3 linked regions of the Sus scrofa genome follow. The protein of the gene in region 1 purifies or fractionates together with the protein of each later gene. This does not show direct contact. Links are inferred from orthologs where the notes say so. Each region holds a gene or a part of one and is shown on either strand. Other genes may lie near its edges. The genes, in order: FBXO22, COPS5 and KDM4B.

Region 1 (9,694 bases):
GAATCAGAGCTGTAGCTGCCAGCCTACACCACAGCCCCAGCAACTCAGGATCGAACCTGCAACGTCATGGTTCCTAGTCAGATTTGTTTCTGCTGTGCCACGAAGGGAACTCCTGTGGACTTATTAATGATGGCCATTTCTGACTGGTGTGAGGTGGTACCTCATAGTAGTTTTGATTTGCATTTCTCTAATAATCAGTGATGCTGAGCATTTTTTCATGTCCTTGTTGGCCATCTGTATATCTTCTTTGGAGAAATGTCTATTCAGGTCTTTTGCCCATTTTTCAGTTGGACTGTTGGCTTTTTTGCTGTTGAGTTGTATAAGCTGTTTGTATATTTTAGAGATTAAGCCCTGTCAATTGCATCATTTGAAACTTTTTTCACATTGTCTTTTTGTTTTTTTTTTTTTTTTTTTTTTTTTTTGTCTTTTGTCGTTTGTTGTTGTTGTTGCTATTTCTTGGGCCGCTCCTGCAGCATATGGAGGTTCCCAGGCCAAGGGTTGAATCGGAGCTGTAGCACCGGCCTACACCAGAGCCACAGCTCACGGCAACGCCGGATCGTTAACCCACTGAGCAAGGGCAGGGACCAAACCCGCAACCTCATGGTTCCTAGTCGGATTCGTTAACCACTGCGCCACGACGGGGAACTCCTTTTTTTTTTTTTTTATGGTTTCCTTTGCTGTGTGAAAGCTTGTCAGTTTGGTGAGGTCCTATTGGTTTATTTTTGCTTTTATTTCTGTTGCCTTGGGAGACTGACCTGCGAAAACATTTGTAAGGCTGATATCAGAGAATGTTTTGCTTGTGTTCTCTTCTAGGAGTTTTATGGTGTCTTGTCTTCCGTTTAAGTCTTTCAGCCCTTCTGAGTTTATTTTTGTGCATGGTGTGAGGGTGTGTTCCAGTTTCATTGATTTGCATGTGGCTATCCAGTTTTCCCAGCACCACTTGCTGAAAAGACTGTCATTTTCCCATTTTATATTCATGCCTCCTTTGTTGAAGATTAATTGACCATCGGTGTCTGGGTTTATTTCTGGGTTCTCTATTCTGTTCCATGGGTCTGTATGTCTGTTTTGATACCAGTACCACACTGTCTTCATTACTATAGCTTTGTAATGATGCCTGAAGTCTGGGAGAGTTATGCCTCCTGCTTGATTTTTGTTCCTCAGGACTGCTTTGGAAATTCTGGGTCTTTTATGTTTCCATATAAATTTTTGGATTGTTTGTTCGTTCTAGTTCTGTGAAAAATGTCATGGGTAGTTTGATAGGAATTGCATTGAGTCTGTAGTTTGCTTTGGGTAGTATGGCCATTTTTATAACATTAATTTTTCCAACCCACAAGCATGGCTATCTTTCCATTTCTTTGAATCCTCTTTAATTTCCTTGATTAATGTTTTATAGTTCTCAGCATATAAGTCTTTCAGCTTCTTGGTCAGGTTTATTCCCAAGTATTTGATTTTTTGGGGTGCAATTTTAAAAGGTATTGTATTTTCTAATATTTAATTGTTAGTATACAGAAATGCGACTGATTTCTGAATGCTAACCTTATATCCTGTTACTTTGCTGAACTTGATCAATTCGAGCAGTTTTGGGGTTGAGTCCTTAGGGTTTTCTATAAATAGTATCATTGTCATCATATTTTCTTTTCCTTTCTTTCTTTTCTGTTTTTTGTTTATGTATCCCTTAACTACTTTTTGTGTCTATAGATGATTTTACTACTTTTGTTTTTCACACTTCCTACAGATTTTTATATTTCTAGTTTTGGTCTTTCTCTTTTTCATTTAGAGAAGTCCTTTTAACATTTCTTGTAAAGGCAGTTTAGAGATGCTGAACTCTTAGGTTTTATTTATCTGTTAAACTCTGTCATTCCTTCAGATCTGAATGATACCCTTGCTAGGTAGAGTGTTCTTGGTTGTAGGTTTTTTCCTTTCATCATGTTGAATATATCATGCCATTCCCTACTGGCCTGCAGAATGTCTGCTGAAAGTCTCCTGACGTTGTGGGAGATGCCTTAATCCCACTAATTGCCTTTTCCTTGATTCTCTCCTAATCTTTAATTTTTGCCATTTTAATTATAATGTGTCTTGGTGTGGACCTCTTTGAGTTCATCTTGTTTGACACTCTGTACTGCCTGTCCCTGATAACTGTTTCCTTTCCCAGGTTAGGGACGTTCTTCAAATAAGTCCTGTCTCTTTCTCTCTCCTCAACTTCTGGGACTTTATAATGTGAATGTTAGTACTCTTGATGTTGTCCCATAGGTTTCTTAAACTACTCTCATTTAAATTTTTTTTTTTTTTTCTGTTCAGCTTTAGTTACTTCTGTTGCTCTGTCTTCTAGTTCACTCATCCATTTGTCTATCATCTGATTTGCTGTTGGCTCCTTTTTGTAGTTTTAATTATTGTTATTTTCAGCTCTGTTTGGTTCTTCTTTTTGACTTATTGCTAACCTTCTCACTGTATTCATCCATTCTTCTGAGTTCTTTGAGCATCTTTGTGAACATGACTTTGAACTCTGTATTAGGTAGATTGCTTATCTTCACTTTGCTTAATTCTTCCTGTGGGATTTTATCTTATTCCTTTGTATGGAACGTATTCCCCTGTCACTTCATTTTGCTTGATTTTCTGTTTTTATTTCTTTGTATTAAGTAGGTCAGTTATGTTTCCTAATCTTGGAGAGGAGATGCCTCATGGGGCTTGGAAGCACAGTTCCCTTGGGTCACTAGAGTGATAAGCCCTAGGAGTGCCCCTTGTATGGGCTCTGAGAGCCCTTCTGCTGCTGCAAAGCTGACTGCTGTGAGTGTGCTGGTAGGCAGGGCTGGCATCCTGGCCTGGTTGGCCACCAGGTGCTGCGTCATGTGGAGGTTGCCAGATGCTGGTGGGTGGGACTAGGTCTCGGTGAAGTTGGCTCTGGGGCCTGGGGAGGGCCAGGGCTTGTGGCAACTTGCTGGTGGGTAGGTAAGCCCTTGGCACTAGTATGCTAGAGGGAGGGCTGCAAAATGTGTTAGCCAGCACACATGTCCTCCTGCTAGAACAAGCTCACGTAAGTGGCTGCTGCTAGATTTATGTCCCAGGTGGGTCTCTCTCAGGTTCCTTTTAAATTCCTGCCTCTGAGCTGAGACTCAGAGCATAAGAGATTTTGCATGCACCTTTTATGAATGGATTCCCTATTTCCTCAAGCCTGGTAGCTCTTCTGTGCACAAGTGCTGCTGGCCTTCAAAACGAGGTGTTCTGGGGGCTCATCTTCCTGGTGCAGGATCCCTGGGATGGGGAGCTGAGTGTTGGGCTCCGATCCCTCACTCCTTGAGAGAACCTCTGCAATTGTGATTATCCTCCTGTTTGTGAGTCGGCTGTTCTGGGGTGTGAGTCTGGACAATACCGTCTTCCAGTTTCCCCATTCCCCCTTTCTCATGGTGGTTCCTTCTTTATTCTTTAGTTTTGGGAATTTTTTTTTTTTTTTTTTTGCTAGTCTTGAGGTTGTTCCTATCGATAATTCCTCCGTAGGTAGTTGTAGTTTTGGAGTGGCTGTGGTAGAATGTGAACACAAGGTGCTATTACTTTGCTCTCTTAGCTGCTCCTCCCCAAATTATATTCTTTAAAAATGCCTTGTGGACCATCCATAGGTCTTATCCAGCCCTGAGGCCACTGCAGGGTCATCATTCTGTTGCAGTATCTTCTATGAGTTTGTGTGTATGGAATCTACTCTGAAACATCTTAACATTCCCAGATCAACATTTTCACATAATCCATGTTGAGGTTTTGTCATGTGCTAACTGCTTCATTCCATTTTGTTAGTAAAAATCTTTGAAATTTTTAGAAGGAAAAATATGCTCACCCTTTTCATTTAGTTCGTCTACTTTGCCACTTGTCTCTAACAAATTTACAACATGATGTTTGGTGGAAAACATGAGTCTGAATAAGCCCAGGCTGTAAGTGGAGATTAAGGCACAAATAAGAATGACTGGGATGTCAAGGATGTCACATATGAAGTCACTGGTTCTGAGGGACTTTAGGAAAAGTTTTGTAGAGGATATGGCACTTAAGCTGTTTCTTGGGGAAAACAACCTTAAGTCAAGTACAAAAGGAAAAGAACTTCACAAGGAAGAAAAATTTATATACATATATATATAAATATCTATATATATGAGTTTATCTGGATAATAGTAAGCCAGAGATTCCTGTAGAAAACTAGTTGGCAAGCTGGAAATGAAGGCATATATTATTTAATTTGATAGGCAGTGGAAAGAGGAGTGATACAGTCTGTATACTGTCTGTCTGTTGCTGAGATGTTTCTGTTGTCGTGATACCTGTTCATATAAAGCAAATGGAATATTTTGCTGGTACCCAATGTTTTTGTCTTTTTTTGTTTGTTTAAGAGCTTGAATTGTGAAAATGAACTCCTTGGGTCAGGCTGGAATGAGTGTGATGTGAAGAAATAATAGATGTTCAAGAAATGAACGAGCTGAAAATGAAAGTATGAGTGAAAAATGAATGAGAAGTGGATGAACTTAGAATGCTAACACTGATCTAAAGGAGGGTAGGGCAACAGAAATTTGGACCAAGGCAAAACTATAAGGGGCCACAAAAGCAATCATGGATTCCTGTGATCAAATTTTTATTTTTTTTCTTTTGTAGAATGTCCATATCTTACCACGGACAGTTCTTTACATGGCTGATTCAGAAACTTTTATCAGTCTGGAGGAGTGTCGCGGCCATAAAAGAGGTGAATTTCAAAGGAAACAGTTTTGGATTTTTTTTTGTTTCTTTATGTACCTGTGTTTGGACATAAATACTGGTTTCATTCTTAGAGTTATTGACTTTCTGAGGCTATGAGCCCACTCTCTGCAGAAGGCCTCAATATATTCTCTTTGAACTTTGAGGAACCCTCAAAGATTTCTAAACTGTGTGGTACAATTGAAACTAAATCCTTGGAAAGTGTTTTTCTCATTTTGAAATATTTTAACCCTCCAGGGACTTTTTTTTCCTGTTTAAAACAAGATGTCTCTTTTTGACTATTCAAGCCTTTTGTCGTGTTGGATGACCATTTACTAAAGTTATCTGTAGATACTGTGCATTCTTCTTGGCTTGCTAAGTGAAGACGTGCCTAAGTGTCCCAAGATGGGCACAATGAGGCCCAGAGTTAGACTTAGCTAGTGGTACCATTGCCTGATTTGAATCCAGGTGATTGTGTAGTAGAAAAGTCATTATGGGGAGTTCCCGTTGTGGCACAGTGGTTAGCGAATCCGACTGGGAACCACCGGGTTGCAGGTTCGATCCCTGGCCTTGCTCAGTGGGTTAAGGATCCCGCGTTGCTGTGGCTCTGTGTAGGCCGGTGGCTACAGGTCCAATTCAACCCCTAGCCTGGGAACCTCCATATGCCGCGAGATCGGCCCACAAAAGTGGCAAAAAAAAGACCAAAAAAAAAAAAAAAAGAAAACAAAAAGAAAAGTCATTATGCTTTAATATCAGCTGAACGGATGTCAGATCTGAAATTCAACTGCTACTGCTGATGTCATTGAAGCAGAAGCAGCATGTGAACAAATGGAAAAGGGAAATTGTCAATGCTGAAGGTCAGACTTAGAATTTAACATATAAAACGGGCTTGAAACAGAAAACATTTTGTTGTGAATCCAAGCTTTTAGATTTCCTTGTAAAGCGTTCTGGTGTAAAATGACTTAAATTTTATTTAATATTTGCTTTTTTTTTTTCCCCCTCCTTGAAGCATTAGACTTTATTAAGTGGATGACTTTGAATAATCTTGCTCCTGTCATTACAGCCAGGAAAAGAACTACTATGGAAGCAGCATTTGCCCTTGAGAAGCTCTTCCCAAAACAATGCCAAATCCTTGGGATTGTGACCCCAGGAATTGTAGGTGAGAGAATACCAGCTTGATTCCCTGCCTTGCATTAATGTGGGGTCCTATAGATTGGTGTGTTATTTGTAGCCTAAAGCACATATTTTTGACCTTCCAAAATTCAGTTAAGTTAGTCATATGTACCATTGTATTATATTTGACTTGTTAGGTTATTGTGGTTAATATTTGAAATCTCAGGGCTGTCCATACAAACCAAAATGTAATTCAGATCTTTCCAGCAACTGCTCATAAGAGAACAAAGATCTCATTCTTCCTCCCTACAAATCAGAAGGTAGTAGTGAGCATTCTCACTTTTGTCACTTCAGCCAGAAGTGAGTAGGGATGAGCTAGGGCTAGGATCAGGAGCTGCAGGCTGCCTTAGTAGGAACACAGGGACGGCCTTCCATTTCTCATTTTGGTTGCCCCTATTTAAAGTTTATAGCATGAGGTTGTGGCCTTTTCCAAGTTCGCTGTTGGTGAATTTTTGCTGGTTTTGATTTTTGATTCTCTTCTCTAGCTAATGGGGGAGTGGGATCCTGTCCAGGCAGCCATCGTGCCACGGTTCAGATCCCAGGCCTGGGATCCCAGCTGTACCACTTAGTATCTGTACGACTTTGGGCAAGTTAGCCGACCTCGTGGAGTTTCAGTTTCCCCATCTATGAAATGGGGGTGGCTGACAGTACCTCCTCACAGGGTTTGAGGAGTAAGTGATTTAGCGCATGTACGGCATTAAAAATTGAGATATGCAGTTCCCGTCGTGGCGCAGTGGTTAACGAATCCGACTAGGAACCATGAGGTTGCAGGTTCGATCCCTGGCCTTGCTCAGTGGGTTAATGATCCGGCGTTGCCGTGAGCTGTGGTGTAGGTTGCAGACGCGGCTCGGATCCTGCATTGCTGTGGCTCTGGCGTAGGCCGGTGGCTACAGCTCCGATTCGACCCCTAGCCTGGGAACCTCCATATGCCGCGAAAGCGGCCTAAGAAATGGCAAAAAGACAAAAAAAAAAAAAAAAAAATTGAGATATACAGGAGGCAGGGAATAAATGTTGGCTGTTACTATTTTCTTTGTTCCTCGCAGTAGTACTCCATAATTGTCATTTCTAGTCTTCACCGAGAAACTCTGGATGAGAATTTGAGTCTTGTGCAATGAAGTACAAAGAATTTCAAGTGTCTGCAGATGAATAAAGGAAAACATATGGTTGATGGGGCCTGTTTTCTCTCTCCTGTCAGCTCCCACCTTTATTTTCAGCAGCCCCATCACCAGACATTTCATTTCTCAGTGGATTAAAAAATGACAACAGCGACTGATTTTCTTAACTTTTGAGTTTCCCTTGAATGCATAATCTAGTTTTTAACCATTATTCGTTATTAACAAACTCTTCCATAGAAACATAGCTTTCATTTCTTACGTCATTCTGTTAGGCCTCCCCGCCCGACCTAGTGAGGCTTCCTCAGAGTGTGACCGGTTTCTCCTCTTTAAAATGTCAGCTGGGGCAGGAGCAGGAGAGGGCCGGCAGACCTGGGCCACGCTCTGGCCTCCACGGCCCCATGGTGAGGGCCTGAAGCTTCCTCTTGTACTTACTTGCCTCGTCTCAGGGCAGCTGCGTGCCTTTCTCCCAAGTTCTCTTAAGGCCTCAATGTCAGGGAATGCCATTCCAGCTCCCTTGAGTCAGGACCTGTCCTCTTGCTTGTGTTTTCTCAGACCTGCTCCTCACCTTTCTTGTTTCTCATTCCCGACAGCTCTGCTTTCTTTGAGCCACGTCCATGCATGTCACAGCAAAACTTCTGCCAAGATGGTTGATTGTTTTCCTTTTTCTTAGGCCTTAAGTGAGTGTTTCTAAAGCAGCCATTGGCTACTGGCCCATCGTCCTTCTTTAGGATGGAAAATTTTCAAGGTTGAGAATTTGTTCATTTTTATATACGCAGAGATGATTTTCTTTCTTAATTGAGTGAAATGTACAATCCTAAGTGTACCATTTAATGAGTTTTGACAAATTCATATCCTGGTGAAGCTGACATGCTAGTCAAGATGTAGAATATTTCCATCACTCAAGGAGGTTCCCTCGTGCCCTCCTCTGCCGCTCCTTAGCTGCCACTGGAAACCCCAGTCCCATTTCAGTGACCAAAGATTCGTTTGGCCTGTTGTTGAATGTCATATAAATGGAATCATTCAGTATATACTCTGTATGCATTGGCTTTTTCACTCAGCTTTTTTTTCTTAACCTCATGAATATTTTTGAGATTCATTTATGTTATATTGTCCACCAGTAATTCATTTTAAAAAATTCTGGGGAGTTCCCGTCGTGGCGCAGTGGTTAACGAATCTGACTAGGAACCATGAGGTTGCGGGTTCGGTCCCTGCCCTTGCTCAGTGGGTTAACGATCCGGCGTTGCCGTGAGCTGTGGTGTAGGTTGCAGACGCGGCTTGGATCCCGTGTTGCTGTGGCTCTGGCGTAGGCCGGTGGCTACAGCTCCGATTCAACCCCTAGCCTGGGAACCTCCATATGCCGCGGAAGCGGCCCAAGAGATAGCAACAACAACAAAAGACAAAAGACAAAAAAAAAAAAAAAAAAAAAAAAAAAATTCTGGGGTAGTATTCTGTGACCTAACTTGAATTAACTTTTGTGTATGGTAGAGGTAGGCTCAAGGTTAATTTTTTTTTCTTCATCTGTTTATCTAGTTCTTCCTTCACCATTTGTTGAATACTTTGCATTCTTATTAAATTTTTTCAGCACCTTTGTCAAAATTAATTGACTGTGCGTGTGGATCTGTTTCTGGGTTTCATTCCATTCCATTGATTTAATTTGTGTATCCTTAAGCCAATGCTATTTTACTGTAGGTCTTGATGTTCTTTTTAAAAATTGCTTTGATTATCTAGGTCCTTTGCATTTGCACAAATATTTTGGAATCATCCTGTCAATTTCTAGAAAAAGCTATTGGGATTTAATTTACATTATCTTGAGGCCTGCTACAGACAAAAAAAATGTTTTTATGTTTTGGTATTTTTTGTAGAGGGAGGTCTCATAATAAACTTGGAAATTTTATTTTGATGTTTTAAATTAAGAATAGATTATGTGGTGTTTGATTTGATTCTGAAATTTTCTGAGTATTTTTTTTTTCATTTTGTTCTATCCTTGGTTCCTAAAAGGCTTAACCCTTTTGTTTTGTTTTACTAGTAATAGTCATTTATTGTTTAAAAAAGGGAAAGAAAAATTAGAAGATAAACACAAAAGAAAATACTTAAGCAATTTTAAGCTTAAAATAACGATTAATGTTATGACGCATAAACTAGGCTTTTAGTACTATACATAGCTGTATGTATATGTGTGTATATGTATATATGTGGGTATGTATATACATGTATGTATATATTAAAATACAATTTTCAATGAATTTGTAATCTACTATATTTGTTTCAGTCTGCTAAGGCTGCCATAATAAAATGTTATAGATGGGGTGGCTTAAACAACAGAAATTTATTTTCCCACATTTCCAGTGTCTGAAAGTCCAAGGTTTTGGCAGGTTTGCTTCCTCCTGAGGCTTTTTCCTTTGGCTTATTTACAACCACCTTGTCTTCTCACTGGGTCCTCATATGGCCTTTTCTCTTTATTCTATGTCATCTCTGTTGTTTCTTCCTCCTCTTGAAAGGACAGCAATCATTTGGATTGGGCCCCCACCCTTATGACCTCATTTAACTTCTTTATTTAAAAAGCCTTATCTCCAAATACAGTCGCTCTACACATAGACACAGTTTATGTAATTGTTACATGCTTTTATGACACATTTTTTTCAAGTAGATTTGCTGTGAAGATGTGTTTTCTATCCCCCCCACAACTTTTTGTTTAGAAAGACTTC
Region 2 (9,694 bases), on another chromosome or scaffold:
TTTGTGGTGGTCATGCAGTTTGGGTATCACTAACCCCATTTCAGCTCCCCAGGTGCAGGCTCATGACCAAAGTTAGACCAATCACAGTGAAGTCAGAACCTTATTTTGACAACCATGAGCAGCTTTTTCCCCCTGACTGGATGCTGTGGTGTACAGCCGCTTTGGAAGAGTCCAGCTTGAGATTTATTTAGGTCAACATGTGGAGGGCAGAGCTGAGACATTATAGAAAGCCTAATCCAAATATGATTTTGGACTCTGTAGTTTAGGTGAGCCAATAAATTCCTTTTATTGTTTAAGCAACTGTTTTGGGGGGGATTTTGTTGTTACTTGCAACCAAGGCACCATGGCATGCATATTTTCTATCTCACCATGATGTCTTAGTTGATTAGATCACCAAGGTCAAATTACATGTGGATAACAGTGTTCAGGTGTTGGAGTGAAAACTGCTAGGATGTTTCCAAGATGGCTTCAAGGATTCCTTACTCTTTCATGTCAGAGAATCCTCAATGACTCTGTCACTGTTCCTAACTGAATGGCTCAATTGGTATTGCTGAAGACTGTGCACTAAACACAGATTTTAGCCGATCATTGGGGGCAGTCATGGTTTTGTTTTTTGTTTTTGTCTTTTTGCCTTTTCTAGGACCACTCCCGCAGCATATGGAGGTTCCCAGACTTGGTGTCGAATCGGAGCTGTTGCCACTGGCCTACACCAGAGCCACAGCAATGCGGGATCCAAGCCACATCTGCAACCTACACCACAGCTCACGGCAATGCCAGATCCTTAACCTACTGAGAAAGGCCAGGGATAGAACCCGCAACCTCGTGATTCCTAGTTGGATTCGTTAACAACTGCACCACAACGGGAACTCCCATGGTTTTTTTTTTTTTTTAAGTGCCTAAAAATGGAGGCTAGGTCATGCTATCTCAAATTGGGGTGCCTTTATTTAAAGGATTATCAAATGAGACCAAAAATGCTATTATGTCATCAACTGTCTGAGAAGGTATTTGGATGCTAGTAATAATTGGCTTCCTCATCTTACTAAAGACCACCTCTTTGCTAAATCTAAATGAAAAACTTTTAGGCTTTGTGTTCCTTGACCTTGCGCCTTATGTGAAGTCACTTATAAATTACTTCTTAAAGTTTTCTTACTTCTCTGCTCTCATGGTCTCCTCTTCCTCTGACCATTTAAAATTTGATGTATGCCATGATTTGTCTTGGGCCCTCTTATTTCCACAAATTCATCTCATCTAATCTGATCCAGCCCACAACTTTCTTGAGTGCTCTTGGAAACTGACTAGTACATTCCTGTTTAAAACTCTTTAGCTCCCTATTGCTGTTAGGATAAAATCCAAAAGGCCCCTGCAGGATCTATGCTCATCTTACTGACTGAAGTCATCTCTGTTACTCCATACAAACTATTCGACACTCTCAGATCTAACCGAATCTCAATTTTTTTTTTTTTTTTTCGGTCTTTTTGCTATTTCTTGGGCCGCTCCCGTGGCATATGGAGATTCCCAGGCTAGGGGTCCAGTAGGAGCTGTAGCTACCGGCCTACACCAGAGCCACAGCAACACAGGATCCGAGCCGCGTCTGCAACCTACACCACAGCTTACGGCAACGCCGGATCCTTAACCCACTGAGCAAGGGCAGGGACCAAACCCGCAACCTCATGGTTCCTAGTCGGACTTGTTAACCACTGTGCCACGACGGGAACTCCAAATCTCAATTTTTGAAGGTTCTGGGTTCCTGCTCTCTGCCCCTGGCCTTCCTCACATTGCTATCTTCTTTGCTTATAAAAACATAACCTGTTATTTTTTTTCTGGCTAGTCCTCCAATCTATCAAATTTCAGCTTAATGTCAGGTCGCTTCCTACAGGAAGCCTACCTGGTTAACTCCTCTATGTGGTAAGTGTTCCTCCTGAGAGTTTCCCAGCACACTTTATTTCTCCCTTCATAGCAGTATTCTTAGGTTCATCTTAAGTTAGCTTTAGTCTCTGTTGTAAGTTCTGTGAGGAATGTTGCCATTCTACCTTGTTCAGAAAATCTCCAGAAATCTAATATCCAGCACAAATGAACATCTCCTTAGAAAAGAAAATCATGGACTTGGAGAAAAGACTTGTGGCTGCCTGATGGGAGGGATCGGGAGCTTGGGCTTATCAGACACAATTTAGAATAGATTTACAAGGCGATCCTGCTGAATAGCATTGAGAACTTTGTCTAGATTCTCATGTTGCAACAGAACAAAGGGTGGAGAAAAAAAATGTAATTGTAATGTATACATGTAAGGATAACTTGATCCCCTTGCTGTACAGTGGGAAAATAATAAAACAAAAAAAAGTAACAATCAAAAAAAAAAAAAAATCTCCAGAGAACAAAATGGCCTAGTTCAGTAAAAATGCTTGGTGAACATTTGATTGACTAGATACCTGTGTTAGACTTTCTCAAATAAATTATTTGATCTTCAGGAGAATAATTTATGGTGTGACTTAGTTAATGTTTCATAGGAACATAAAAACGTTTCAGTAAATTTTATTTTTTACAAACAGACTGTCAAAAGAAGGCATCTAATTCTTATTTCCACAAATCATCTCATCTAGCCCTGGTCTACAACTTTCTTAATAAAATGTTCTTAGAAACATCAGACTGGTACATTTCTGTTGTTTAAAACTCTTTAGCTCCCATCAAATATAAAATGGTTAGAATAAGAGACCACAACAGCAGAGAAGAAAACTTTAAGAAGTAATGTATGAGTGACTTCACATGTGGCCCAGAAGTCGAGGAAAACCAAGCCTAAAGATTTTTCATTAGATTTAACAAAGAGGTGGTCTTCGGTAAATTGAAAAGTGGCTCCGACAGTCAGTATGTTAGGTGAAATGCTGAAATCTTTTGACTAATTTAGATAGGCAAGGCTCTTTAAAAAATAGGAAAGCTCTAATAAATATTTTTTTTTTTTTTTGTATTTAAGAACATTAAAGGGAGTTCCCGTCGTGGCGCAGTGGTTAATGAATCCGCCTAGGAACCATGAGGTTGCGGGTTCGGTCCCTGCCCTTGCTCAGTGGGTTGACGATCCGGCGTTGCCGTGAGCTGTGGTGTAGGTTGCAGACGCGGCTCGGATCCCGTGTTGCTGTGGCTCTGGTGTAGGCTGGTGGCTACAGCTCTGATTAGACCCCTAGCCTGGAACCTCCATATGCCGCGGGAGCGGCCCAAAGAAATAGCAAAAAGACAAAAAAAAAAAAAAAAAAAAAAAAAAAAAAAAGAACATTAAAGGATACTAGTAAAATAATGTATCCCCTCCCAGAAAACAATCAAAGAACAATTTCATTTAAAGAATTTTATTATAGGATGTTAATATTCAGGACACTTCAGAGCACCTTATTCTTCTAATCGTATTTTTGGTAACTGGTTTTAAATTGTTACTTGCGTATTTTTCTCATACTGGCAAAAGTACTATTTTGTGATTGTTTAAGAGATGTTAATTTGATTAAATAGTTTATCCTTAATAACCTGAGACATCAATCCATGGATAGCTTCTATGGTAGTTTTACAGCTGGAAAGAAAAAATACATCACATAATGTCACGATAATTAAAAACTGTTTCAAACATGCAAGTTCCCCCACCCCCACATCTATCCTTATACCCACAATAATGATTTTTGGTTCTATTCACATATACCAAACCATACCAATTTACAGCTTATTCTTTATTGTTTACTATAGTGAATTTTAGCCTCCTGCATGTTTTTTGACCATTTCATTACTTACTAACACCTTTCCAAGAGAATGACAATGTAAAATTTGATATAAATCATAGAAGTTAATTTTGTTACTTGTCAGAAGGTTAGGGAAAATTCTGTTTCAGGTTACTGAAGTTTTTTATAATTGAGAATTATAGACTGATTCCAATATTACATTAAAATCTTCCATTCTTTTTTGTTCATTACTTAGAATAATTTTTAAAAATGATTTTAGGAGTTTCCATCATGGCTCAGTAGTTAATGGGTCCAACCAGGAACCATGAGGTTGTGGGTTTGATCCCTGGCCTTACTCAGTGGGTTGGGGATCTGGCAACGCTGTGGTGTAGGTTGCAGACATGGCTCGGATCCCGCGTTGCTGTGGCTCCAGTGTGGGCCAGTGGCTGCAGCTCCAATTCGACCCCTGGTCTGGGAACCTCCATATGCCTTGGGAGCGGCCCAAGAAATGGCAAAAAAGACATAAAAAAAAAAAAAAAAAAGATTTTAAAGAATCTTATGCTTTTTCTCCCTGAAATAATCACAAACATCCTTTGAACAATTCAAAGCCAAAGTTAGGTCAGTGAGTGAAGGACTTGTATTTTAGAATTGATTAAGAAAATGATAAAACACTACCAATATTCAGAAGAGATGCAATTCTTATAAAGTTACTCCTAAAAGCAAAATTCTCTAATTTTTTTTTTTTTGGCCACACCCATGATATGTGGAAGTTCCTGGGCCAGGGATTGAACCTGCACCACAGTAGTGACCTGAGCTGCTGCACTGACAATGCCAGATAGTTAACGCAGTGAGCCACAAGTGAGCTCTGAAAATTCCCTATTTTTTAAAAATCGTTTTTAAAAATTATTTTAAATTTTGTTCTTACTACTTTTCTTATATAATTGAGACATTCCCACAGTGAAATTTTTGCTTCATAAGAAATTTAGATTTAAATGCAGATGAAATTGTAAATCAGAGACATATAAAGATACATGAGCACAATGACATACTAAGATCAAGTATCAAAAGTAAGATCTCATGTCAAAGAAAAATGTAATTTTTATCCAGGCTACTAGTTCTATACCTTTAAAAAACCCATGGAGAAGAAAGGAATGAGATCATTGTAACCCAAGATGGCATCTACTTCTAATACACTTTGCCCTCCCTTCTCTCTTTTCTTTCTTACCAACTGGTACAGGTTTTTAAAAAATGGATACCAAGGTATTGGTTTATATAGATGTCAACACAGTTTTCCCTCCCTCTCTATTCCTAACTATCACATTACAATTCAAAATTTTGTGAAAGTAAATGCTTTTTGGTAGTCTTTCCAATCCTGTATGCATCTGAAGGACCACCATGTAATTATTTCCTATGTTATTAGAGAACCTATCCCAAGTTCATAACAAATTCTTGGTAGTAAAATTTGGGATACTAAAATACTGTATAAAGAATTATTACATAAAATTAAGAGAGATACAATCATTTATCAGATATTTATGGGGTTAAACTTTAAATTTAAGAAATTCTAATTTAATCCTTTAGATGATAAGGTTAGAACAGGTTAGGGCATCCTTTTGCAAGTTTTTGTTTTTTAAAGGTCCAGCAATGGACTAGTTTTCGTTCTTACAGTTTCTAGCTGAACTTAGAAAAGGTAACTGGGAATTTTTCATACACTACCTAGACCTTTTAGACTCTGATGTTCTTAGTTACCGTCTTAAGAATTTCAGCTGAAACCTGCTTTTGACAACTCTTAAAGGCCCAAAGAAGTTAATATTCAAGTACCATTCTAAGTTATAAGTAAGTTGAGCCATAAGGAATTTGAATATTGAAAGAAAAGAGTGAGGAATAGATTTGCTCTTACCTGTCTCGTGTAGCTTTGGCAAGTTTGTCTTCTGACTTTCTGTCATGCGTTTCTAAACCCAACATAAAACTCCCTCGTCCCAGCTGGGCTTCTGATTGTTCTAATTTCTCAGACAAATCAAAGACCTGACCGGTGGTATAGTCTGCATTCTGTGGGGAAAATGATATTGTGTCTATATATAGAACAAGTCTATCATTAAAAAAAACAAAATTTTCTTCTATATAGGATCTTTTGGAGTTCCTGTTGTGGCGCAGTGGAAATGAATCCTACTAGGAACCATGAGATTGCGGGTTCTATCCCTGGCCTTGCTCAGTGGGTTAAGGATCCAGCGTTGCTGTGAGCTGTGGTGTAGGTCACAGATGCGGCTCAGATCTGGAGTTGCTGTGGCTGTGGGTTGTGGCTGTGGCCAGTGGCTATAGCTCCAATTAGAACCCTAGCCTGGGAACCTCCATATGCCGAGGGTGCGGCCCTAAAAAGGACAAAAGACAAAAAAACCCCCAAACAACCATGTTATATATAGAATCTTTCATTTACAGATAATTCCACTATGAAATCTAAGTAGAGGAATTCCCATTGTGGCTCAGTGGTTAACGAATCCGACTAGGAACCATGAGGTTGCGGGTTTGATCCCTGGCCTTGCTCAGTGGGTTAAGGATCTGGTGTTGCCCTGAGCTGTGGTGTAGGTTGCAGACGCAGCTCAGATCCGGCATTGCTGTGGCTCTGGCGTAGGCTGGCGGCTACAGCTCCGATTAGACCCCTAGCCTGGAAATCTCCATATGCCGGGAGTGGCCCAAGAAATGGCAAAAAGGACAAAAAAAAAAAAAAAAAAAAAAAAAAAAAAAAGAAATCTAAGTAGATAGTCAGTGAAGTAAGAGGTCAAATTATACTTGCAAAAAGTGATCCCAAAGCTCATGCAGTTCAAATGTAGAGTTCTTCCCCTTTCATAATTTTAATACTAAGTTTGGAATTTTTCTTTTTGACTGCTTAAATCTAATATGTGTTATTATAAGAAGCTTCCAAATACACAGGTCTGAGTCCAGGTTCTGGCCCTGCTGCAGACTGGAAGGCCTTGTGAGAGCGCCTTTGCTTTTCTGTGCCTTCAAGCCTTCCTGTGAAAATGGGGAAGGAAGGTGATAATTTCTACCTAAAGCTATTGTGAAGATTAAATTGTAGTGATATTATATAAAGCTCTTAGGACTGTCCATGGCACCTGGTAAAGGCTTAATGGTTGTTAGCTAATTTTGTTATATTTTTTCTTGTTGAACTTCCAGAATTAGTACTTATATCAGCATTTTAAAAATTACATTTGTTGTAGCTTTTCTGATTATAAAGTTAATAGTTATATTGGAGTTCCCGTTGTGGCTCGGTGGTTAACGAATCTGACTAGGAACCATGAGGTTGCAGATTCGATCCCTGGCCTTGCTCAGTGGGTTAAGGATCTGGCATTGCTGTGAGCTGTGGTGTAGGTTGCAGATGTGGCTTGGATCCCGCGTTGCTGTGGCTCTGGCGTAGGCCGGTGGCTACAGCTCCAATTTGACCCCTAGCCTGGGAACCTCCATATGCTGCGGGGGCAGCCCAAGAAATGGCAAAAAAAAGACAATAAATAAATAAATAAATAAAGTTAATAGTTATATAGAAAATTTGGAAAATGTAGAGGAATATACAGAAAAAAGGAAATACCTATAATCCCTCCACATCGCTATAACCAGAGCTGTATTTTAGAGTATTGCTACACACACTCACATGCATACCCACATTTGTTAAACTGAAATATGATATAGACTTTCATAAATTTTAAAAATAAAAAATTTAATAATTACATATGCACATTTAACTGTAATATTTTAAAAAAGATTTTATTGGAATATCTTTTTGTTATTCTATTTGCTCAGTCTGTAAGACCATGTACAGGAAATATAGTTCAACCAGAAGATATTTTTTAAGAGTTATTTGCTGTCATCTTAGTTATTACAAGGAGCCCTATAAAATGTTACCAGCTTTCCAATGATTTTACAAACTTATGATATTTTTTAAAGGTGTGATTATATTCACTTTCTCTGGATCTAAATGATTTAGGTCATGAATACATTCTACTCCACAGATTTGGAGAAAATCCTAGGGTTTGTAGACTACCTCACATCTGGAAGATTTAGTGCAAGCTATTAAAAAATGTAGGGTAGCAGAAATAGTTATACTATTAAAATAAAGAAAGAATCAATTACATTTCAAAATACACAGAGAAATAAATCATAAAATGATTTTTTTATGGTAACTTTTAGATTACATGCATTAGCTGGGGAAACATGAATTGAAAAAAAATGTATTTTTTTCTTAAAGTGCTGCAATATACTATATATAAAACCACAAAAAAGTCACCAATATAACCTTTTCTTAATTATTAATGTCCTCATATATGCAGTGCTGGAATATAGGGACAGCCATAGGCTGAGTAAGTAGAGCTGTCTGCTTTTATACAAAAGTTCAGATCACTCCTGCCTTACAGTTCCTCCTTTTGCCATCATCTGTCACCTCTGGCTGCTATCAGTATACCTGTCTCTAAGGAAACACCACACACATAAGGCATTTAGCAGTGCATGGTGCATAGAAAGCACTGAATAAATATTTGCTATTATGGTCACTCTCCTTCCTTCCAGTTTGCTACTTCTGACCATTGAGGATAAGAAGAAAGAATGGAAAGCGTGTTAGAACTGTATTTAAAATCGCAGTAAATATGCTCAAGTGAGGTCTCTTCCCATGAATACAATAAACAACAAAAAAATTTTACTGTGGCTTTATTATAATGCCTGGCACTTTGCGAACTGCTTTACACATAAAGTATTTCATATGATTCTCAGTGCACTTAACAATGTGGGTACTCTTATCATTGATAATAAGAAAGGCTCAGTCACATTAAATAATATTCTGAAGGTCATATACAGTTTGTAAAGCAGCAGAGTTGTTTTTGAACTGAGTTGATCTTATTCCAGGTTTTGTGGTTCTAATCACTATGCTATACTGTACTCTATGAAGTTTTAAAAAAAACCAAAACAGAACTGTTTCTTATTAAGCTCTAGATAGAAGTTTGTTAAATATTCTTGTAAATGTTAGATTTTAATGATATATTGGAAAATATTTATTGACTTTCTTGTTGTTGTTCAACATCTGCTGCTTTTATGTAGTGATATTCTGATTTCCTTCTGGGGACATTCTTAGCCCACGTGGCTCCTGAAAGACTTTCTTCTACCCCAGCCCAGCAGTAAAGCATGTGCCCTGGTCTAGCCACTCAAGGTGATCATTACCTTGGCCTAGAGCAGCTTTAAGGATGGGTATGTAACCTCAAAACTCAGACATAATGAGGCTTTGCCTGGGAATGTGCATCTGTATGTATGTATGTATGAATGTGTGTATGTGTATCTTGATCTTCTGAATATGAAACTGCGAGGCTGAGAGGTCTAAGCTAATGCTGCCATCTTGCTTTCACATGAAGTCTGAAACTGAAGCCAACTGACCTGAAATCAAAGCTAAGAGAGGAAGACCAAGACCTCATAATATTGTCTGAATGCAGACTTAGGCTATGCCTGAAGTAAGCCCAACTCCTGGACTTTGGAGTTTACATGATTCTTTTTTGTGTAAGACAGCTTTGGTTGGGTCTCCTGTCACTTGTTACCAGAGTCCAACCTGAGACAAAACAGCATCTGTATTCTTCTCTGTTAGGTGTTTAAGGCAGAGGCAGATTTCACCCTCACCTGGCCCACTATATTTGTCATTTAGACTTGGTCTCAATGGTACATGACACAGATTGTGACTTGGCCTAGTATCCTAATCTACCTCTGGTCATGAAGAATCTGATCCCAGCCTTACTGTTTTGGCCAAGTCAGATATAGCCTTTCCATGAAAGAGTTTCAGATGTTAAACAGCTTATATAGATTAGATAAAATTTAGTCACATCCCTTGAAAGCACAGTACTTACAGTAAGCAAGCTAGAGGAACTCAGCGTATTCACCCAGTATTTATTCCACAAAAGCTCAAGCAATTTTCGATCCAAAGAGGACTTAAAATATGAGACTTCTAAGGCATAGTATCTATGAAAAAAAAGCACAATAAT
Region 3 (10,222 bases), on another chromosome or scaffold:
GGAAATTCATTCAACAAATGAATGCTTACTGAACACCCAACTGTGTGCAGGAACTGCCCTAGGTGCTAGGGATACGAGCAGTGACCAGATGCACATTGTTCCTGCAGTGGGGACCTCACACCCTCATAGAGATGCTCCCAAACTACAGCCCAAAGGTCAAATCCAGCCTGCCACCCGTTCTGTATGGCCTACAAGGTCAGAGTGGTTTTGACATTTTAACAACTCGGAGGGGTGAGGGGGGAATCAAAAAAAGGAAAACAGTTCATCACATGTGAAAAGCATGTGAAATTCACATTTCTGTGTCTAAATAAAGTTTTATCAGAACACAGGCACATTCATTTGCTTCCGCACTTTTGCATTACGAGGGCAGAACAGAGTGGTCAGGACAGAGACTGTCCCACCTGCAACCTGCAAAGCAGTAAACAGGAGTTCCCATCTTGGCTCAGTGGTAATGAATCCGACTAGGATCTATGAGGACATGGGTTTGATCCCTGGCCTCACTCAGTGGGTTAAAGGATCTGGTGTTGCCATGAGCCTTGCTGTATGTAGGTCGCAGAGGCAGCTCAGATCTGGCATTGCTGTGTCTGTGGTGTAGGCCAGTGGCTACAGCTCGGAATCGAGCCCTAGCCTGGGAACCTCCACATGCCATGGTTGTGGCCCTAAAAAAAAGACAAAAGATTGAGGAGTTCCCATTGTGGTGCAGTGGTTAACGAATCCAACGAAGAACCATGAGGTTTCGATCCCTGGCTTTGCTCAGTGGGTTAATGATCTGGCGTTCCCGGGAGCTGTGGTGTGGGTTGCACACGCAGCTTGGATCCCATGTTGCTGTGGCTCTGGCGTAGGCCAGTGGCTACAGCTCCGATTAGACCCCTAGCCTGGGAACGTCCATGTGCTGCAGGAGTAGCCCAAGAAACGGCAAAAAGACAAAAAAAAAAAAAAAAGACAAAAGATTGAAAAAAAAAAGCCATTAATAGTTCCTCTCTAACCCTTCATAAGAAAAGCTTCTGCCTCAGTGGATGAGACAGACTATAAATATATAAAGAGATTAATAAACACTTCTGGTAGTGCAGAATGCAAAGAAGAAAGGATAGGCTAGGGAGAGCAGGTGGACGGAAGGGTGAATTTAGGCAGAGGGTCAGGGACTGTGTCTCTGAGCAGAGACCTGAATGACAAGGAGCCAGCTGGGGGGAGACCTGAGGGAACAGTGTTCTGGCAGAGGGCACACCACATGCAAAGGCCCTGAGGCAGAGAAGAGGAGGCAGGGAAAGTGGTTTCTGACCCAAGGGAGGAGGCAAAGGAGTGAGGGGTCGCGGATGGTGGGAGAGGAGCGCACCCCGGAGGACAGAAGAGAGAGGCCACGGGAAGGGTCTGCAACTTTTCCCAAGGACACCAGGAAGCCACTGGAGGGCCCTGAGCAAAGGAAGGCCGTTTTTCCAGTCTGTAAAAGCCCCTCGAGGGAGCAGGACTGAACATGGACAGACGAGTTGTGACGCTTTATCTAACCAACGAGATGCCCCAGAACAGGCCAAGTCAAAGCAGCAGCGAGTAACCAAAAACCGAGCCATCCAAACACAACGTGGACGCACAGATCCGCTGTGGTCTCAGTCTTGCGGCGGTACAGACTCTAAGTATCGTAGTTAAATGCATTTCACTGTGTAAAAGCATCTGCAGCTGGCGCATTAACAGTCCCGTGACCACGGACATCACTGCTCAGGAGGAGGCGAAGATGAGGAGTGAGTCACCTCGGAGCCGACTTGAAGAAAACTGTGAAAGCCAACTGACAGGCGCAGCTCACACAGCTCTAAGCCTGCCCACTGCAATTCCAGATCCTGGGAGCCTGGGTAGGGGCCCTGCTTCGGAGACCCCCCCACACCACGCCTGGCTGGCCCCAGGGTGGCTGGAAATGAGAGCCTGCAAATGTGAGCCCCTCCCTTTTAAATGGGGCGGCAAAGAGGAAGGGGACAGAGGGACCCAGAACTTGAGGCGGATCAGGGTCATGGCTAAATACCAGGCTGCTGTGGGGTTAGAGGTTAAGTGAGAGGGATGTCACCTGGGGAAAACTGTGTGCCTGGGGGACACTGGTTGCTGTCTGAGGACATTGTGGTTGTCACAACTAGGGGGGAGGGGTTACTACTGGCATCAATGGGATAGGGGGTCAGGGATGCTGCTCAACACCTCACAGTGCCTGGGACGTGCCCGCCATCCCCAGAGAACAACCTGGGCTTGGATGTAGACAAGGCAGAGTAGGGAGGGACCCTGAGAGCAGGAAGAATTCAGCGCCCCGGCATCATGAGAAGCACTTCAGTGACTTTCATCTCCTTTGATCTCCTCAATAACCGAGGATGGGCTCTTATGACACCCATCATACAGATGCGGAAACCGAGGCCCAGAATGATGAAGTGACTTGACCCAGAGGAGGGATCTGAACCCAGGTCTCTCAGATTCCGTTTGGGGAATGGAGGGGAGGACAGGCATTCAGGAACCCCACCAAGAACACAGGTCAAAAGGGAGTTCACGTTCAGCCCCTTTCCCCGCCTGGCTGATGTTCTGGGTACTCAGGCCAGAAGCAAGGGACCAGGACTGGGGCAGGTAAGAACCGTGGCAGTGAGTCCCCACTGAGCAGCCCTGGAGCAGGTCTCTGGAGCACAGCCAGGAACCAGGCCCAGGCTGTTGGAGAAGCATGGGGTGACCTCACAGCTGCTTTGCAGGGCCCTCATGGTCAGGCAATGGCCCATAGTTCCTCTGCTTTCCCCCACCCCAGCTTCCTAGTAGGCTTGGGAAAGTTTAGTGACCCCCACCCCTCCACCTTTGCTCTTGAGCAAGTGATGGGCACAAGGTCTCACAGCTTGGAGCCTGTCCACCACACTTCTGGACTCCGGGGAAGAGAGCCACCCAGAAATGCTTGTTTGCCCACACTGTGGGCCGTACTGCCCACCCCGAGCCAGGCCTCCACCTCGCCAGCACAGCTGTGCCCCACAGCCCTAGACACCCATCCCTCCCCTTCCCCCACTAGACCCAAAGCCCCCCGAAGTTAGAGACTCCACGAAACCTGCCCCAGTGCTCAACGAACCCAACATCCCCAGGCCAGGTGAGTGTGGGATGGACGCAAGGACTGAGGCTCTGCCGGGCCAGCCAGGGGAAGGGGCAGGGCACAAGAGGGCAGGGGCCAGAAGCCAGCAGAGGAGGCGGAGAAACGCGGGGTCAAGCAGAGCAGCGGGGGTGGGAGACAGGGGCAGAGAGGGCCCCCAACAGCCCCAGAGGGACTGGGGAAGGGTCTTTCCTAGGACGCAGAAAAGTACAACAAAGGCAGGGCGGAGTCGGGAATGACCGATCAGCCATACCTTTAAGCTCTAGTATTTAACATCTCCTTAGCAGCCCACTTCCCCAAAGCGACAAGGATCAGAATCAATTGTTACTAAGACCTATATACATTTCCTCTCAACAACTACACACTCATTCTCTCTCTCTCTCCCACACACACACACACACACACACACACAGCATGTGACACTGTATCTGCTGGAATCGCCACAAAACCTGGGAGCATTCAAGCAACTGCACCTCTGCTCCTGGCACTGCCCTCCCCCAGGGCAGAGCAGTCTGACCGAGGAGGTGCCCCCGGCACGAATGGGGAGCATCATGATTTGCCCAGCATCCAATCAGAAACACAGAAAGAGGGCCGGCGAGTTTCAGAAACCCTCCACTCAGATCAGCACAAGTTGACTCCAGACTTTCACATTCCGTCCTTTGGGGTTCCAAAAAACAAACTAACTGCAAAGACAGAGCGGCTGCCCACTGTTCTTGCAAGGGTGGAGAGAGAAGGCTGACCCATGAGTTGATAAGCTATCCTGATGCCTCAGAAGGAAGCTATTATTTGAGAATTAGGGGAGTCATCAGCTCTTGCGACAAGGAAAGCCCACAGAAGTCATGTAAAGAGACCGTTTCAGGGGCTTTCTCCAGCCTGGGGACAGCGGGATAAATGGCTGTCGAGGCAGAGGAGGGGGCAGGCATTCTCAGACCCTAAGACATTGCTGGCACCCAGTTTGACCCAAAGGAGCTGGCTGAATAAATGCCTTTGATAGAAACACATGGGGAAAAAAGGACACACTCTTCACACATTACAGGATGGGATCACTGGGCTCCACTGAACAGAACAACCTTCTCAATAGTTTCATAACTCGGGAAACAGTTCCCCAGGTGCACCTGAATTATTAAAACAAAAGCATCCTCCCCCGACCAAGCAGATGGGACACACCAAGGCACAGTCCATGTCTCCCCTGCCCCCAGGGGAAAGAAAATCCTCTGTAAAACCTTTCCATGTGGCCCCACGGAGGTGCATCCCATTCTGCCTGGTGTCATCGCGCCCACTGGGTGGAGACCCAGGCCCCAGCAGATCTGGAGTAGGTTCCTTTCAGAATGAATCCGTCCCCCAGCTCCCACGAGGCTGGATGGGACAGCCCAAGGGGTCTCCGCGGGAGGGACTCTACGATTTATTTCTACAGAGAAGGGGGGCTTCGAGATGGCTTTCGGGCCGGCAGGGTGAGGCACTGAGGGCACGCGTCTGTAAGCTGCTATATGCATAGCAACTGGATACATTAAAAAAAAAAAAAATCCAGGTTGCATGCTTATTTAGGGGGGCTCAGGAAAATGGGGGACGAGTTTGGAAGCCGCGATGGAACGGCGGGTTGATTCGGGGAGATGGGTGGGATGCAATGATGGACATTTCGGGGGGGCACCACTGGGAAGCGCCTCATTAACCCCACCGGTGCCCAAAGGGCTGGAAATGCAGGCGGGCTTCACCCAGGGCCTGGGATTTCTTTCTTTCTCTTTATTATTATTTTTTAAATCATTAGGATTGTTGTGAATAATAGAAGGGGAGGGCCCTGCCAGGCAGGGCCAGCCGGGCCGGGCCACCCACGCTGTCATCTTTTGTGCGGGGCCGACGGGGACGCCCTGGCCCAGCCCCCGCGCGCCCCTGGCCCGGGCAGGGCGCCCCCGCCTCCCGCCCCCGGCCCCGCCATTGTCCAGCCGCACCGCCCCCGCCCGAGGTCCGGCGGGCGCCCGGGGCCAAGCGGTTAACGCCCCCAACCGCCTCGCGGGCCGGGACAAAGCGCGGCGGCTGCGGCCCGAGCAGGCCGCGCCCGAGGCCTGGGCCTCGAGTCCCGGGCGCCCGCCCGCCCGCAGCCCCGGGCGCGGCGCGGGGACGGCGGCGGCCGCAGCGGGGCCCGCGCTCGGACGCGGCGGCCGCCTCCCCGCGGGCTCACCTGAGGCGGCGCGCGCGGCCCGGTCCGGAGCAGCGGCGCGCGCTCCCCCGCCCTCGGCGTCGCACCCCCAGGCCCGCTCGGGCCGGGCCCCGCTCGGTCGCTGGCGGCCGAGCCCTCCGTGAGCGCCCCGGGTGGGGCTTATAGGGCTGCGTTCCAGCTCCGCCCCGGCTGCCATTGGCCCCCGAGCCCACGCCCGCACGCCCATTGGCTGACGCTGACAGCTCCGCCCCTCCCCTCCACCGGGCCCATCAACACCTCACGGCCCGCCCCCCGCGCGCCTCTATTGGGCGGGCGCAGGCGCCGGTCTCGCCTCGCCATTGGCCTGCCGGCCGGGACACGCCGGCGCCCACCCACGTGCCCGCTGACCGGCTCGGTTCTCATTGCAGGCTGAGCACGCCAGGCAAGAGGCCGCGACCAACGCGACGGCCCTAGGCCTCGGATTGACAAGGACGCCTAGGGGACCGCCCAACGACCGCACGGGGGCAAGAGAATATTGGCTTACTGGATCAGCCCCAAGAGCGGACTGGCTGGGGCGAGTGCCAATCACGGCCCGGGCCCCGCCTTGGTTATCAGGCTGCAGCTGAGTACGTGAGACCCAGCACAACATCAGCACCCCGCCTGGGAGTCGTAGCGGTGGGTTCGAGACCCGGAGCCGGAAATTGGGAGCCGCGTTCTCCACTTCGCAAAGTCCGGAGTTAGGAAACATAGCACGAACAAAACTCAATTTGTAAAGGAGGAGAACTGGAGAAATAAAAGTCAAGCAGGAAGCGCCCCTGTCTCTCCTTTCCTCCAGACCCTTCAAAAAAAAGTTCATTTCCATCACAAACAATACAACTTTGCAAAGGCGCAAGGCCTCCCTGCTAAAATTAGGTGACGTCCCCTAAAAATGAGGTAACCTTCCCTAAAACGTGAAGGACGAGAGGAGTTCGCTGCTTCCTGACCAGTTCAAAGCTCAGCTGGGCCCAGGTGCCTCACTGGTTGGCCTCGAGCAAAGTAACCTCACTGGGCTTGTTTTCTCCGGTGAAAAGGATATGATGGTGATACACCCCCTCACGGTCTGCTCCTATCCTGGGAAGTTTGCACGAGTTAAGTGAAAACAGGCACGTAAAATTTGACCATGTCACTTCACAAAGTGAGCATTTAGCTAAGGTGTATCATTAACATCGTTTCGGTGATTAATTGCGGTCAGGCAGTAGAGTGGGTACACTCACATTTCGCTGGCAGGAGTGTAAAACAGGCAACTGATTTATAAGGCGGTAAGTGTAACTACATTCTATTCCTGAAGGTCATGTACCCTGAGAAAGTCTCCCAAGCTCACAGCTTGCCAGTTCAAGGATGATGTTGCAGCACTGTACCTAATTGTTCCCAGTATTTTGCTCTAAATATCTCTCTCTAGGAAATAAGCAGCCTGTGGCACTGGGTACTTTAGAATACTTTTAACTTTATAGCAATTAAAAACAGATTGGAGTTCCCCTGTGGCTCAGTGGGTTAAGGACCTGGGGTTGTCACTGCAGCAGCTTGGGTCGCAGCCCAGGAACTTCCACATGCCACCAGTACAGCCAAAAAAATTAAAATTAAAAAAAGAATAAAAAAGAAGTAGATCTACAGGTACAGTCAGAGAATGATGTCTACAAGCCATGGAGAGCTGCAGAATGGTCCAAATTTCTGAACAGAACATTATGGAAATGAACCTTCAGCAAATAATGCTGTGTGGTTTCTAAGGGCACATACCTGTGGCCCCTCGCAAAACAAGGCCACCCCTAAACTGAGAAAACTAAATCTTTGGGGAGAGGAGGGATCTGCATTGGTAAAAAGGGTAATTGGTAAGGACTTCCATCTGTTCTAGTGTGTTATACATTCTCATGGGGCCATATTTGGATATTCCTCATGCAGTTAAAATTTAACTTAAAAAATAGGAAGTAGTAACTGCTCCCATGGAACACCCTGAACTGCGGGGGGGCAGGGGGGAACTGACATGTAATTTGGTAGCAGTAATACAGTGTCAAAGTGCAATCAAGGGGGAGTCCCATCGTGGCTCAATGGAAACGAATCCCACTAGTATCTATGAGGACAAGGGTTCGATCCCTGGCCTTGATCGGTAGGTTAAGGATCCAGCATTGCCGTGAGCTGTGGTATATAGCTCACAGACCCAACTTGGATCCTGCGTAGCTGTGGCTGTGGCATAGGCCCGTGGCTATAGTTCTGATTCAACCCCTAGCCTGGAAACTTCCATACGCCGTGGGTGCAGCCTTAAAAAGCAAAAAAGAGAAAAAAGGGCAATCATGGGAGTTCTCGTTGTGGCTCAGAGGTAACGAACCTGACTAGTGTCCATGAGGACTTGGGTTCAATCCTTGGCCTCGCTCAGTGGGTTAGGTATCCAGCATTACTGATATGGAACCCTAGCCTGGGAATTCCTTCCATATGCCACAGGTGTGGCCCTAAAAAAAGACCAAAAAAAAAAAAAAAAATGCCGTCATGAAGGGATCCCCCTACCTCAAAACCTTTCTTTTTCTACTTCCTAGTTTGTCCTATAACACAGTGAATTCCAGTTGATTGGATTCAATAGGCTCTGGACTTTTTTGGCCACACCCACAGCACGTAGAAATTCCCAGGCCAGGAACCAAAACATTCCTCGGCAGCAACTCAAGACACTGCAGTGACAACACCAGATCCATAACCCACAGGGAAGCTCCTAGACCCTGGAGTTTCTTTAAATTTTTATTAATTTATTTTCTTTTTAGGGCCACACCTGCGGCATATGGAAGCTCCTGGGCTGGAACTTCAAATCGGAGCTGCAGCTGCCATCCTGCACCACAGCCACAGCAACATCGGACCCAAGCCACATCTGCAGCTTAAGTCACAGGTTGCAGCCATGCCAAATCTTTAACCCACTGAACAAGTCCAGGAATCAAACCCACATCTTCAAGGATACTATCTCGGGTTCTTAACCAGAAAAGCCAAAATGGGAACTACTGGAATTTTTTAAACCGAGGGTCCTAAATAGGTTCTCAGCTTTCCGATTTTGTTTATGTAAATAAACTTCACAGCTGTAGAACCCAGACAGCAAGTATATTTGAGGGTTCATGAAACAGTTCTTTCAACTTTTCTGTTTGAATGTTTTCATAACAAGCTGTTAGGGAGAAACTATAATCACTGTCATTTAATTAAAAGGTGTCCTAGGTAAAGCAGAAAGGACACACTCTCAGAATTTTCCAATGGACAGACGAATTAACTTGGGAACAACTCAACCTACTTGTCCTGGTTTTCAAATCTTTGCAGACGGGTACAGATCTCACAAAGGGCTGGGGCATCTGTCCCTAAGACAGACCGGCAGGCCCTCTGGCACCGGCCTTAGATGACGCAGGGCTAGCTGGTTTCTAACTGGTCTCCACCTTCCCAGAATGGGTAAGGTGTGGAGCTAAGAAATATCCCATGCTTTTCAAAAACCCCCTCCAGCTTCCGTTAAGGGCTAGTCTGATGCATAAAAGATAGAAATGAGAGTTCTCCTTGTGGTTCAGTGGACTAAGAACCCAAGATAGTATCCATAAGGATTCAGTTTCGATCCCTGACCTCGATCAGTGGGTTAAGGATTCAGCACTGCCACAAGCTGCAGTGTAGGTCGAAGAGCTGCTATGGCTGTGGCGGAGGCCAGTGACTGACAACTGCAGCTCCAATTCGACCCCTAGCCTGAGAACTTCTATATGCCAAATGTGCAGCCCTCAAAAGAAAAAGGAAAAAAAAAAAAGATAGATATGGATAGACTAAATCCTCTATGTCCTTAAAAAGTAACTTTTCAGCAATACATTTGGGGGAGTTTCCACTGTGGCAAAGTGGGTTAAGAATCCAACTACATAGCAATGAGATGCTGGTGTGTAGCACTGGGAACTATGTCTGGTCACTTATGATGGAGCATGACAATGTGAGAAAAAAAAATGTATACATGTATGTGTAACTGGGTCACCTTGCTGTACAGTAGAAAATTGACAGAACACTGTAAACCAGCTATAATGGAAAGAATTAAAAATCATTATATAATATAATATATATTATATATATAACATATATTATATATATTATATATTATATTATATATATATATAAAGTCTGATTATATATATATAATATATAAGTCTGATTATATATATATTTATATATATATAAAGTCTGATATTATATATATATATAAAGTCTTTATATATAATATATATATATAAAGTCTGACTACAGCGGCCTGGGTCACAACTGTGGCTCAGATTCAATCCCTGGCCCAGGCACAGCCATTAAAATATATATATATATATATACACACACATTTGAAGAATTCAGACATTCCATTTCATGCCAAGCGTATATTGCTAGACACACATGTAGCACATTTCACCTTTAGGAGCACAGACAGAAAGATAATACATACTCCAGACCACAACTCACATGTTTACTGAGATGCTAAGACAAAGCATCCACCCCATCATTGAACCGAATAAAAAAACAGGCACAAGACACTGTACACACAACCATCCTAATGCTGCTTTTAAAAATTACATATATTGGAGTTCCCATCATGGTGTAGTGGTTAATGAACCCGACTAGGAACCATGAGGTTGTGGGTTCGATCCCTGGCCTCGCTCAGTGGGTTAAGGGTCCGGCGTTGCTGTGAGCTGTGGTGTAGGTTGCAGACGCGGCTTGGATCCCGAGTTGCTGTGGCTCTGGTGTAGGCTGGTAGATACAGCTCCGATTAGACCCCTGGCCTGGGAACCTCCATATCCTGCAGGAGTGGCCCTAGAAAAGGCAAAAAGACAAAAAATAAAAATAAAAATAAAAATAAAAAATAAAAATTACGTATAAAACATATAGAAATTCTTTGGTGGCACAGCATGTTGAGGATCCAGCGTTGCCCTGCTGCAGCTCGGGTTACTGCTGTGGTGAGGGTTTGATCCCTGGCCTGGGAACTTCCACAT

The links.
Region 2: the proteins of FBXO22 (region 1) and COPS5 purify together in Homo sapiens (affinity purification with mass spectrometry; 3 studies listed by BioGRID and IntAct, with this or other methods). This does not show direct contact. The link is inferred for Sus scrofa from reciprocal best matches to the Homo sapiens genes FBXO22 and COPS5.
Region 3: the proteins of FBXO22 (region 1) and KDM4B purify together in Homo sapiens (affinity purification with western blotting; 3 studies listed by BioGRID, with this or other methods). This does not show direct contact. The link is inferred for Sus scrofa from reciprocal best matches to the Homo sapiens genes FBXO22 and KDM4B.

What each region holds. Positions count from the first base shown.
Region 1 is NC_010449.5:56,156,840-56,166,533, forward strand, and holds part of FBXO22 (F-box only protein 22), read left to right. Parts: intron 1-4,623; coding exon 4,624-4,711; intron 4,712-5,764; coding exon 5,765-5,860; intron 5,861-9,694. UniProt on the Homo sapiens protein: Substrate-recognition component of the SCF (SKP1-CUL1-F-box protein)-type E3 ubiquitin ligase complex that is implicated in the control of various cellular processes such as cell cycle control, transcriptional regulation, DNA damage repair, and apoptosis.
Region 2 is NC_010446.5:67,751,776-67,761,469, reverse strand, and holds the end of COPS5 (COP9 signalosome complex subunit 5), read right to left. Parts: intron 9,672-9,694; coding exon 9,560-9,671; intron 5,739-9,559; coding exon 5,590-5,738; intron 3,548-5,589; coding exon 3,463-3,547; 3' UTR 3,317-3,462; downstream 1-3,316. UniProt on the Homo sapiens protein: Probable protease subunit of the COP9 signalosome complex (CSN), a complex involved in various cellular and developmental processes.
Region 3 is NC_010444.4:73,884,487-73,894,708, forward strand, and holds the start of KDM4B (lysine-specific demethylase 4B), read right to left. Parts: upstream 5,396-10,222; 5' UTR 5,265-5,395; intron 1-5,264. UniProt on the Homo sapiens protein: Histone demethylase that specifically demethylates 'Lys-9' of histone H3, thereby playing a role in histone code. Does not demethylate histone H3 'Lys-4', H3 'Lys-27', H3 'Lys-36' nor H4 'Lys-20'.